Linked DNA regions of Macaca fascicularis. The protein of the gene in region 1 purifies or fractionates together with the protein of each later gene. This does not show direct contact. Links are inferred from orthologs where the notes say so. Each region holds a gene or a part of one and is shown on either strand. Other genes may lie near its edges.

What was found. Proteins that work in one complex are often made in the same cells at the same time.
Region 2: the proteins of EPS15 (region 1) and AP2B1 purify together in Homo sapiens (affinity purification with mass spectrometry; 3 studies listed by BioGRID and IntAct, with this or other methods). This does not show direct contact. The link is inferred for Macaca fascicularis from reciprocal best matches to the Homo sapiens genes EPS15 and AP2B1.

What each region holds. Positions count from the first base shown.
Region 1 is NC_088375.1:183,373,971-183,379,367, forward strand, and holds part of EPS15 (epidermal growth factor receptor substrate 15), read left to right. Parts: intron 1-540; coding exon 541-703; intron 704-3,199; coding exon 3,200-3,387; intron 3,388-5,397. UniProt on the Homo sapiens protein: Involved in cell growth regulation. May be involved in the regulation of mitogenic signals and control of cell proliferation. Involved in the internalization of ligand-inducible receptors of the receptor tyrosine kinase (RTK) type, in particular EGFR.
Region 2 is NC_088390.1:41,888,121-41,894,221, reverse strand, and holds the start of AP2B1 (AP-2 complex subunit beta), read right to left. Parts: upstream 3,856-6,101; 5' UTR 3,580-3,855; exon of another isoform or gene 3,496-3,579; intron 1-3,495. UniProt on the Homo sapiens protein: Component of the adaptor protein complex 2 (AP-2). Adaptor protein complexes function in protein transport via transport vesicles in different membrane traffic pathways.

The sequences.
Region 1 (5,397 bases):
ATTGTGCCACTGCACTCCAGCTTAGGATACTTAGGAGACTCCTGCCTCTTAAAAAAAAAAAAAAAAAAAACCATTGACTTTCAGGTTGTCTTTATAGTTTGTCAAGATGTCATTTTCTTTGCATTAGTATTAAATCTCATATTTAAGTTCATTAGGAAGTATGGAATCTGTTTTTTTTTTTCCTTTCATTACCATTTAGATCAGATATTCTTTGTGGAAAGGCATTCAATCCCTTTAAAATGGGCCTCAGGTGGTTTTGCATTGAATATTTCCTGAAGCTTGACAAACTTTTAATCTAGATTGAACTTTTTTTGGTTTGATCTGTTACTCTTAATAAGTAATGATGTTAGAATCACTACTCATATAGAATAACTTTTTTTCAAAAATTTCTCCCATTGGACTCTGAATGCAAAGGTTAAAATGACAGTGGTCTCAGAATTAAATAAAACTGTATAATACTTCAGTCATTATTCTAAATGCTACATGACTACCACAGTTTGCTTGGTGTAGCCATGTATAACCATTTCTTTTTAAACAAAGGTCAACAATGAAGATCCTTTTAGTTCAGCCACATCGAGCTCTGTAAGCAATGCAATGATTACAAAAAATGTATTTGAGGAAACATCGGTGAAAAGTGAAGACGAACCCCCAGCGCTGCCACCAAAGGTCGGAACTCCAACAAGACCCTGCCCACCACCACCTGGTATGAGATTTGGTACTTTTCTTCAGTCAACTACATGGCTTTTCTCTTTCTGAAAAGTATTGTGTGGAGCTTACTTATATAGAGGGCTTTAAATGAAACAAGTCAAACATATGTCAGAAGCTTCCTGCTGTCATTCATTCTGACCTAACTGCCGAATTACAGACATGCACCTAAGAGATCAGCATGTGTACATTTCATGAGCTGTCTTTCTGCTAAAACCTGTTTTTCTTTTCTTTTTTTTTTTTAACTTAATCATTTCAGAGAGGCAGTAAATGGAAAAGGGAAAGTGTCAAGAAAATCTCTTTGCCTTTTAGAAACTCATTGATTATCCATTTGAATAGCAGTTTCCTGTACTTTGGTGTTTTAATTATAATTTATTTAAGAGAAGATTGTTTCAAAGTCCTTTTCCCGTAACATATAAAGTCTTCCTTAAGTCCTTTAATGTAAGAATATATGGCCTCTTTAGTATCCAGAATTCAGCAATATAGTGATTTGAAACAAAGTATTGGTTTTCTTGAAGGAAAATGGTATTTTAGCTAACTTAAAAGATTCCTTTTTTTTTTTTTTTTTTGAGATGGAAACTTGCTCTGTCTCCCAGGCTGGAGTGCAGTGGCACAGTCTCAGCTCACTGCAGCCTCAGCCTCCCGGGTTCAAGGGATTCTCCTGCCTCAGCCTCCCGAGTAGCTGGGATTACAGGCATGATCCACCATGCCTACCTAATTTTTATATTTTTAGTAGAGATTGGGTTTCACCATGTTGGCCAGACTGGTCTCTATCTCCTGACCTCAGGTGATCTGCCCACCTCGGCCTCCCAAAGTGCTGGGATTATAGGTGTGAGCCACCACGCCTGGCCAAGACTCTTTTCTAATAGTGATTTTTCTCTTATTTTTGTTTGTATGATTAGTATGTGTGTGTATGTATATGTTTAGCACTATACAAAGGAAAGTTTGTTTTGTTTTTAGGTCATAATAAGTGGGTAAAAGGATAATTCCTTGAGTAGTTGTAGTGCTGTTGGGCTATTACGTGAGAAGACACATTTTAGTACATTTTTTAAAAAATCATACCTCATTCCTTGGGAAATTTTCAGTCTAAGTAGTTACAGATTAATACTGCCTTTTCATCATAACCTTTCCATGGTCTTGAGCAGGTAAGTTTTTTTTCTTTGACTGAAAGGATTGCATGTACAATTGTTAATACCTGATAATCTGTTGAAAAATCAGGTAAATGAGTTAAGTGATTCCTTCTAAGGAAAAGTAGCTTATGTCATATATTTCTAGAAGTGAGGTTGCCAGAATATATTTAAAAATAAATAATGGTTAATTTGCACATTTAACTTTTTACACTTGCATGATGCTAATAGTGAGGTTGTTTTTTTAAATCTTAAGTAAAATAATATGCTAGTGCTTTTGTTAAATCTCAGAATCTTCAACCAAGTGATTGTATATCATTGTAAAAAGATTAAGGAAAAGACTGGTTTGTTGGAAAGAGCACTGAACTGGGAGTCTAAAAATCTAGGTTCTGTTTCTGGATGTTCCCTAACTGTGATCTTAAGTGTATAATTTCATATATCTGACCGTTGGCTGTTAAATATTGGCAGCAATTCTAATTTTGCCTACTTTCACAGGATTATTGGAAGGATCCATTGAGATATGAGCATCTTTTCTAAGCAGCTACAGTGATGGAATCTGTTGTGTTATGATTGCTATTACCAGCTTACGCATTTTAGGAAAAAAATATATTTAGAGATATTTTGATCCCTAATTTTATTATCTTTTCTTCAAGAAGTACTAAGTTTAAGTAAGACTTAGAGAACTTGTTTGAAAATGGTAATGAATTAGTGAGTGACTAATAGGACAAAATACTATTGTTGGGTCAGAGATTATTTGATCAGCAACCACAAAGATTTAGGCCCTGGGCTTCAAAACATTTTTTCTTCATTTTGAAATACAGTAAATAACAAAAAATTGGCAGGGTTTTACTACAGTAATTTTAAAATTTTATGCTCCTAGGTATTGTATCTAGAACTAGAGAAAAATCAGAAGAATTTTCCCATTTTTCAGAGGTCATTTGCTCTTACTGCCACTAGTGGATAACTGTTATCAGGCTGAGGTTTATAACAGCAGAGGCAGGCCATTTCTGTCTTTATTCTTTATTATTCTCCTTCTGTTTAATCCATTCGTCTCTCTTTTTGGGAACATGCTGCTTGGTTGTGGCTGGGGGATGGTGGTATTCAATCTCTGGACAAAAATATGATTCCTGGCCCATCCTTGCTTTGCTATTTGTTTCATTAGCTGCACATAGCTGGAATCTATTTGAGAGATCATGTGTGAAGAATTTGAGGACAGATAGTTGGTGTTGCCATTTAAGACAAGAATGTGTTTTAGGTACTTAGTCATCCTCTACCCACGGTACTTTAATGCTATCTGTGTACATGTTCTTGTGTGCTTGTATTTGCTGTATTTACTGGTTGAATTAATTGTGATGATTTTGATCCAGGGAAAAGATCCATCAACAAACTGGATTCTCCTGATCCCTTTAAACTGAATGATCCATTTCAGCCATTCCCAGGCAATGATAGCCCCAAAGAAAAAGATCCTGAAATGTTTTGTGATCCATTCACTTCTTCTGCTACTACCACTACCAATAGAGAGGCTGATCCAAGCAATTTTGCCAACTTCAGTGCTGTAAGTACTGTGAATGAGTTTTTTGGGGGAAAAATCTTTGAAGAGTTTTCAAAGATTATTTTGGAGTCTGCCAAGTTTGCATCATTTTAACTAAATTTACCAAGATACTAAAAATAATCTTTCGTTCTTCCCCCAAGAAAAACCTCTGTTTGATCCTGTTTTGACAGTTCTGTGGTTGTTCCATTGCACAAATGATTTTAGTAGTCTTAGTTTTTGTCATATATACAAGTTGTTTTGTAAATATTTCTCTTAGTCTTGGTAATATAAGTAAAATCCTAACAGTTGTTACTTTGTGAATGGTTATGGGTGATGATGACTTAATGAACAATTACAGAGTCATTGGTGTCTGCCCACTAGATGAACAATGCCAGTAATAAGTTTGTGCATTTGCGGCTGTGTATGTGTGGTTGTGTATAAAGTTTTAATGATTTCTGAGACCAGTCAGCAAATATTATATCAGAGGATAGGGCCAGAGATTATTTGAATAGAAAGTAAAACTATTAAACTTATATAGTCACTTTTAAAAAATGTAAATGCCAGTTTTATGAAATAAATAAATAAATGGTTGTCAGGATTTAAACAATCTTTAATTATTCGGAGAGATCTAATTCACTAACTTCTCATGTTTACTCTGCATTCTTTCAGAGATGTCTAAAATAGGAAGATCATTAGAAACAGTGGAAGGGTGCCATGATAACAGCATAAGCAGGGCGTATAAAATCACAGAAATGGGGCCACCAACCATGGAGTTATCAGTCTAGAGGGACATAAAGCAATGTCATATATTCCATCATTATTCAGTAAAAACAAGTTATTTTTAAATAAAATTCTTAGACTGGGTAACAAAGTTTCAGTTTCCCAGTTTTTTCAGGCAAAATAACCTTCGTTATCACTGCCTGTTCTATAAAACAGGAATTTTCTTCTGTTTATCACCTTATGCCCTTGAGATGATTTTGGAAACAGGAGATCTAGTGGCCAGGTAATTCTGCCTAATATTTCCCTCCTCAATGTAGCATTGGGACATTCAACCAGTTGCTTTATCCCTGCAGCTATTTCTAGTTAGAAAGGAGGTAGTCAAGAATCTGCATGCAGGCTGGGCATGGTGGCTCATGCCTGTAATCCCAGCATTTTAAGAGACCAAAGTTCTTTAAGCACCTGTAGTCCCAGCTACTTGGGGGGCTAAGGTGGTGGAGGTTGCAGTGAGCCATGATCATGCCACTGCACTCCAGCCTGGGTGACAGAGCCAGACCCTGTCTCCGAAAAAGAATCTGCATGCAACTAAGACGACTGAGCTCCCAGCTTTTGAATCTGTACTCTAAGTTCTGGTGGCTTCTCTTGAATATGAAGGAGCAAAACAGGAATCAATATTTTGAATATTGTAAAAATGGAGTGTCAGAATTATACAGACTTTTTTTTTTGAGATGGAGTTTTGCTCTTATTGCCCAGGCTGGAGTGCAGTCGCATGATCTCAGCTCACCACAACCTCCACCTCCCGGGTTCAAGCGATTCTCCCGCCTCAGCCTCCCAAGTAGCTGGGATTACAGGCATGTGCCACCACACCTGGCTAATTTTGTATTTTTAGTAGAGACGGGGTTTCTCCATGTTGGTCAGGCTGGTCTTGAACTCCTGACCTCAGGTGGTCCATCCGCCTCAGCCTCTCAAAATGTTGGGGATTACAGGTGTGAGCCGTCGTCGTGCCCAGCGTGACTTTCCTTTTTTCTTTTTTTTTTTTTTTTTTTTTGAGACAGAGTCTTGCTCTGTTGCCAGACTGGAGTGCGGTGGCGTAATGTCAGCTCACTGCAATCTACGCCTTCCAGGTTCAAGTGATTCTCCTGCCTCAGCCTCCCAAGTAGCTGGGACTACAGGCATGCGCCACCACACCTAGCTAATTTTTGTGTTTTTAGTAGAGACAGGATTTCACCATGTTGGCCAGGATGGTCTCGATCTCTTGACCTCGCAATGCACCTGCCTTGGCCTCCCGAAGTGCTGGGATTACAGTTGTGAACAACC
Region 2 (6,101 bases), on another chromosome or scaffold:
TCCCAAAACTTTGGGAGGACGAGGTGTGCAGATAGTTTGAGCTCAGGAGTTCGAGACCAGCCCGGGGAACATGGCGAAACCCCATCTCTAATAAAAATACAAAAATTAGCCGGGCATGGTGGCACATGCCTGTAGTCCCAGCTGGGACTCACTGCAACATCCGCCTTCTGGGCTCAAGTGATCCTCCCACCTCAGCCTCCCGAGTAGCTGAGACTTTATGTTGGGATCACCGTGCCCAACCCATTAAAATCTTTTTTTTTTTTTTTTGTGAGACAAAGTCTCACTGTGGCCCAGGCTCCAGTGCAGTGGTTCGATCTCAGCCTCCAGTGAAGTGGTTCGATCTGGGCTCACTGCAACCTCTGCCTCCCAGGTTCAAGCGATTCTTCTGCCTCAGCCTTCAGAGTAGCGGGGACTACAGGCACCCACTACCATGCCCGGCTAATTTTTGTATTTTAGTAGAGAGGGGGTTTTCCTTGTTAGCCAGGCTCATCTGGAACTCCTGACATCAAGTGATCCATCAACCTCGGCCTCCCAAAGTGCTCGGATTACAGGCATGAGTAAATTCTTTACAGGAATTTTCACTACATTCTATTAAACAATAAATTAACCTAAGTCTTAAGTCATGCCTTTAACAGCTCACATATTTCATTATCTGTAACAATTTCAATGTCAAGGAATATATTACTGTCCTGTTCACTGTGAGCATTAAGTGTTTTCATCTTAACTAGAAAATAATGCACCCACCCACAAAATTTCAGGGAAGAGAGGAGGGTCAAGTATCTTTAGACGCCCATAACATAGATTCTAAATTAAGAGTCCCTGCTGCTCTAAAGAGAAGGGATATCACTGTAGTAAGCAACACTATTGTAAACAATATTCCCTATCCATATTGGCAGAGAAACATGGTGCCAAGCTGGTTCTTGCCTTAAGCCAAAAGAAACTCCAAGAAAAATGAAAATAGTCTAAATAAAAACAAATAGAAGACATGATTGTTGCACAACACTGTCAGTGTACTAAATTCCACTGAACTGTATGCCTTAAGCTGGTTCATTTTATGGTACGTGAATTTCACCTCAAAAAAAAAATCACATATATATGATTAAGTGTATCTCTCATATAGTGAGTTCTTACCTCATATAATGAGAGACACATTTAATCACATGCTAGATATGGACATAGCCAGAGTCTCCAAAATACAGGATGGCAAAAACTGACATCTTCATTAGAAGTAACAGAAAAAGTAAACAAAATAGAGCTCAAGAAAAAAAAAAACAAAAAAACTCAAATATTTGCTGAAGTGCCTCAAAAATCAAGCTGCTCCTTTGGGGGAGAAAATGTTCCTTCAGAAGAGCCAGAGAAATAAGCAAAGCCATGACGGAATTTGAACTCACACTACCTTTCTACCAGATCAAACCAGACAAGTCACGGCTGTTCTGAGGATTTATGATATGGCCTAAGGCCATTGTTAAACAACAAAGCTGCCAGAGTCAAAGCACATAATCACTCTTACTTGCCCTGACCAGAGTGTGATGTCACTGCATTTCGGAGTAGGCCTCCCTGCACAGGATTACATATCCAGATTTAACATAACCTAGTTTCTATGAAATATAGGTTGTCAAAGTCCCTCCTCTCCTATACCTCCCTCCAGTTCCCTAAAAGAGAAATTGAGCAGCAAAATAAGATTAATACCTTGGGTAGAATAAGGTCAAAAAAAATTAATAGGATCTTAATTCAAATGGCTCTCTGGGAAGCCAAATTAGTTCGTAAAGTCCCTAAACCCTTCTTTTCACAAAGTTGGACTTTACAAAGCTCAGTGCTCACAGTAAAAAACAGAACAAAGTTAACCAAATTATAAAGCAGAAATGTCATTCCAGTAATCTTTTATTGTAAGGGTGAGAGGTGCCAAATTCATTTCTAATCAAATATTCAGTAATAATGCAAAGACAATAGCATCATCAGGTATTATTTTTCTCATAAGAAATTACGACACAAAAGCTAAAATCACCTGTGATTTCTACTTAGACTACAAAGTAGCTTCTTAATATTATATAGAAGCAAAGGAGTTCAAAAGCCTCCCAAAGTGCTGGGATTACAGGCGTGAGCCACCGCGCCCGGCCTACATCTAATTCTTAACCAAAATAACATTAAACTCTGGAAAACTTAAGCCTGGAAGGAAAGAAAGGACAAGAGAAAGGAGAAGGTGCCCTATTTAATATATTCCTTGCTCAGCTTGGTTCAAACCTGTGCCTAAAAAGTTAGTACTTCAAAATATGGATCTTTTAAGGACGGAAAGAATGAAAGAACTGGACTTGAGTTTCTTCATACACAGTCAGAATATTAGATTTATATTGATTTTACCACCCAGCTTTTAGTGAGGATGCTTGCATTATACATCACCCTTTCTGCTTCCTTGAAAGTTTCAACGGTTAAGATACCTGCAAACAGTTCTCACCTTACCAGCACGCTTAGTCATCACTGGAATGTGTTACACGTTTTCTTATAGAGCTGCACCTCCTTCATCTGCTACTTTCTATTATTACTTTGTAAGTGTACCCTGAGGCTAAGCAATTCAAGTATACAAGGAAGGTAATTAATAATTTAAATTGATTCTCATTGAGACCACCTTCTTTCTTAGTCATTCTGCCTTTGTAAGTTTAATGCATTTTCTTTTAAACCACAATGGTTACGATAAGTCTTTGGCGGTTTTCAAAACATTTTTTCTTTTCAAAAGTCAAGTTTGGCTGGGCGCTCTGGCTCACGCCTGTAATCACAGCACTTTGGGAGGCCGAATAGGGAGGATCGCTTGAGCCCAGGGGTTCTAGACTAGACTGGGCAACACAGTAAGACCCTGTCACTGAAAATATAAAAATAAAATAAAATAAAAGTCAAACGTTTAATGAAGCATCCGCGTGAGTTCAATGAAAGCCTGTCCCCCCACCCCACCCCTCCAACAGAAGACTGCTCTTGAAAATAAGCAGCATTAACAAATTATTTGGATTCAAATGATAAGGAAATAACAGTAAGTTCCAGTTTCTTTACTTTCAGCTTAATCTACAGCCTTTCCCAAGCCAGACCATTCCCGCAGAGCCCAGAAAAAGAAGAAGAAAAAAAAAAAAAGGTGGGTTAAGATTTACCCCCATTTGCTTCCCCCTCTCTTACATCGGGTCAATTCTGGAGGTTACTCTTCCTCCAAGAGTCAGGAATGCCTCTTCTTTCCCCAGGTGGTCAAGATTCTAGCGATATGCTCCTCCATTACGGAGCAGGGAAGAGGTTGTCTCTTACCCTCAAGTTACTGGACAGACGACGTTCGCCCATCAATGAGCAAACGGGTTTTTCCCTTTCGCTTTTGCTGGACACGTCTCAGACTCTTAGTGACTCTTAGTGAACGACGCCGAGCGGGGAAGAAAGACGGTTCCCCCCACGGCCTCCAGGCTCTATCAGCCACACCCCTGGCCTCTGGTCCTCCTAAACCCCCAATTCCGAAGTACATCTTACCCTCATGCCCCCAACTACTTGCTGCCACACCCGAGGATTCCCTCACCGCACCACAGTCATCATGGTGGAGACCCTTTCTCCAACCTTTTTCCTCTCACTGGTCACACCCGACGGTTCCCTGTATCCTCAACGGTCACGCTCTTAGGATATCCTCGCTTCCGCCGGTCCTCGACCCAGCCTGGGGTTCCCCTTCTTTTCGTCCCCCACCCCGTCAATTAGGGACACACCCCAAAGGCAGCCTCCCTGAACTCACCGGAGGCGGAGGCGAAGTCGAGGGCGGGGGTGGCGGCGGGAGCCGGAGAGCACAGCCCGGGTGGTGGTGTAATGGTTTCCTGCCCGTCACGATTCTTTTCTAGGTCTAAGCCACTGCGCAAAACCCACTTTGCCAGGGACAAAGATGGTGGGCAGGAAACTCTGACGTCAGAGAACGTCGCCGCGTGACGTCATCGGGGTGCGCGGGAGACCTAGCAAGGCGGTAATCTCTGCCGCCTTCCAGCCCCAAACATTTCCCATGGTCCCAGCAAAGCTGGCCCATCTGGGCCTCAGAGGATGTTAAGTGGCTACTCCAAAGGAATATATTTAAAAAGCTGACAATGGATTTGTTACCTCGCACAGAAATTCTCTGAAAAACGTAAACACAGAGATGATGAAATATCCTGTTCCTTTGTGAAAAACAAAACCCCTCAGCTCATTTTCCTTCCAGGCTCAAGAGCGGACAATGGTGATATAACCCAGGCCTATATACGGGCAGTGGGGCTAGAGGATAGTGGTGCAGGTAAAAGAGGTTGAGGAGGCATTGGATGTGAGTTTGAATCCCTACCCTGAATGTGACTGGGAAAGTTAATGTCTCCTCAATCTTCTTATCTGTGAAATGAAGACAATGATAGTATCTCTCTCGGGCATGTGAAGCGTAAACCAGATAAATTAGGTCAAGTGCCTAGTATATAATAGGTGTGCTTACACAAAAGTAAGTTTCTTTCGGAAACTAAGACCTAGATTCCAGGACCTGGAACTGGAGAACAAGATTGATGAGGTTAAATGAACTAGCTGTCCCTAAGGTTAATTTCAGGGTGTAAGGAAGGATGGAGAGCAAAGTGATTATTTATTTTTCTCACATTTTGCCCATGAACTCTGTGAGTCAGAAAGTGTTTAAGTATTTTAAAACTTCATTCTTAAAAAAGTGATCAGAAGTACATTAAAATTTTGTATAACATACTCATGTATTATTATTTCCTCTGTTATTAAAATAGAGGAATAGGGGAAATTGGAAAGCCAGGTATAAAGAGAGATAATGTAAACACTTATGGTAAATCAGATAGCTGCATAATGTTATAGAATATTTTATGACAGAAAATTCATAAAGTGTTAAGTAAAAATAGGATACAAAACAATATAGTATATGGTATGACTATATATGTATAGAAAAAAAAAAGGCTAGGATAGGCCAGTCATGGTGGCTCACACCTGTAATCCCAGCCCTTTAGGAGACGGAGGTGGGCAGATCACCTGAGGTCAAGAGTTTGAGACCAGCCTGGCCAATGTGGTGAAACCCCGTCTCTACTGAAAAAACAAAAATTAGCTGGTGTGGTGGCACATGCCTATAATCCCGGCTACTCAGGAGGCTGAAGCAGGAGAATGACGTGATCCCAGGAGGTGGAGGTTGCAGTGAGCCAAGATCTCGCCACTGCACTCCAGCCTGGGTAACAAAACCAGACTCGTCTCAAAAAAAAAAAAAAAAGCTTGGATATTCAGCACAATGTTAAAAGTGGTTATTGCGGAATAGTGAGAGTTTTACTTTTCTTCCTAATATTTTTCTGTACTTTTCAAATACAATGAACATGTATTTATTTATATGATTGGGATGTGCCTTTTAAATCATATTGTTGAAAAATATGATACAGAAAAATGCTTTGAAATGATAAGAATAAAAGAAAGATACAAAACTCTAAATCCAGAGGCGTATATATACCTATTAGTGGTTCTCTCTGGGTGCTGATTACAAATGTTATCTTCTTTATATTTGTTTTATTTTCCAATCCTTTCTCTGAAAAATGCATATATTTTAAGGAAAAATGAACCAATGCTATTTTCGAAATACAGCATCAATCCAAAAGCTTTTCCAACCTCATTCTCTTCCACTTTTAGGTGAAAGTATTGACCAATCTCCCTTCTTTTCACCTTTTGGGACCATCACGGGCTCATAATCTAATGGGAGATCACTCAAGAAACTGTTGAAATGATCCAGCCACATGATGATGGTGGTTTAAACAAATAACTGTTGATATTTATTGAGTATGATTTTATGTCGGTTACTCTGCTAAGTACATTTTTACATCCTCACCACCTACCTGATAACCAGGCAGGTACCATTACTTCCTCTATTTTAAGAGATACAGAGAAGTTAAAAGGTAGAATTAAGATGGCCGGGCATGGTGGCTCACGCCTGTAATTCCAACACTTTGGGAGGCCAAGGCGGGCGGATCACGAGGTCAGGAAATCGAGACCATGCTGGCTAACACGGTGAAACCCCATCTCTACTAAAAATACAAAAAAGTTAGCCAGGTGTGGTGGCAGGCAACTGTAGTCCCAGCTACTGGGGAGGCTGA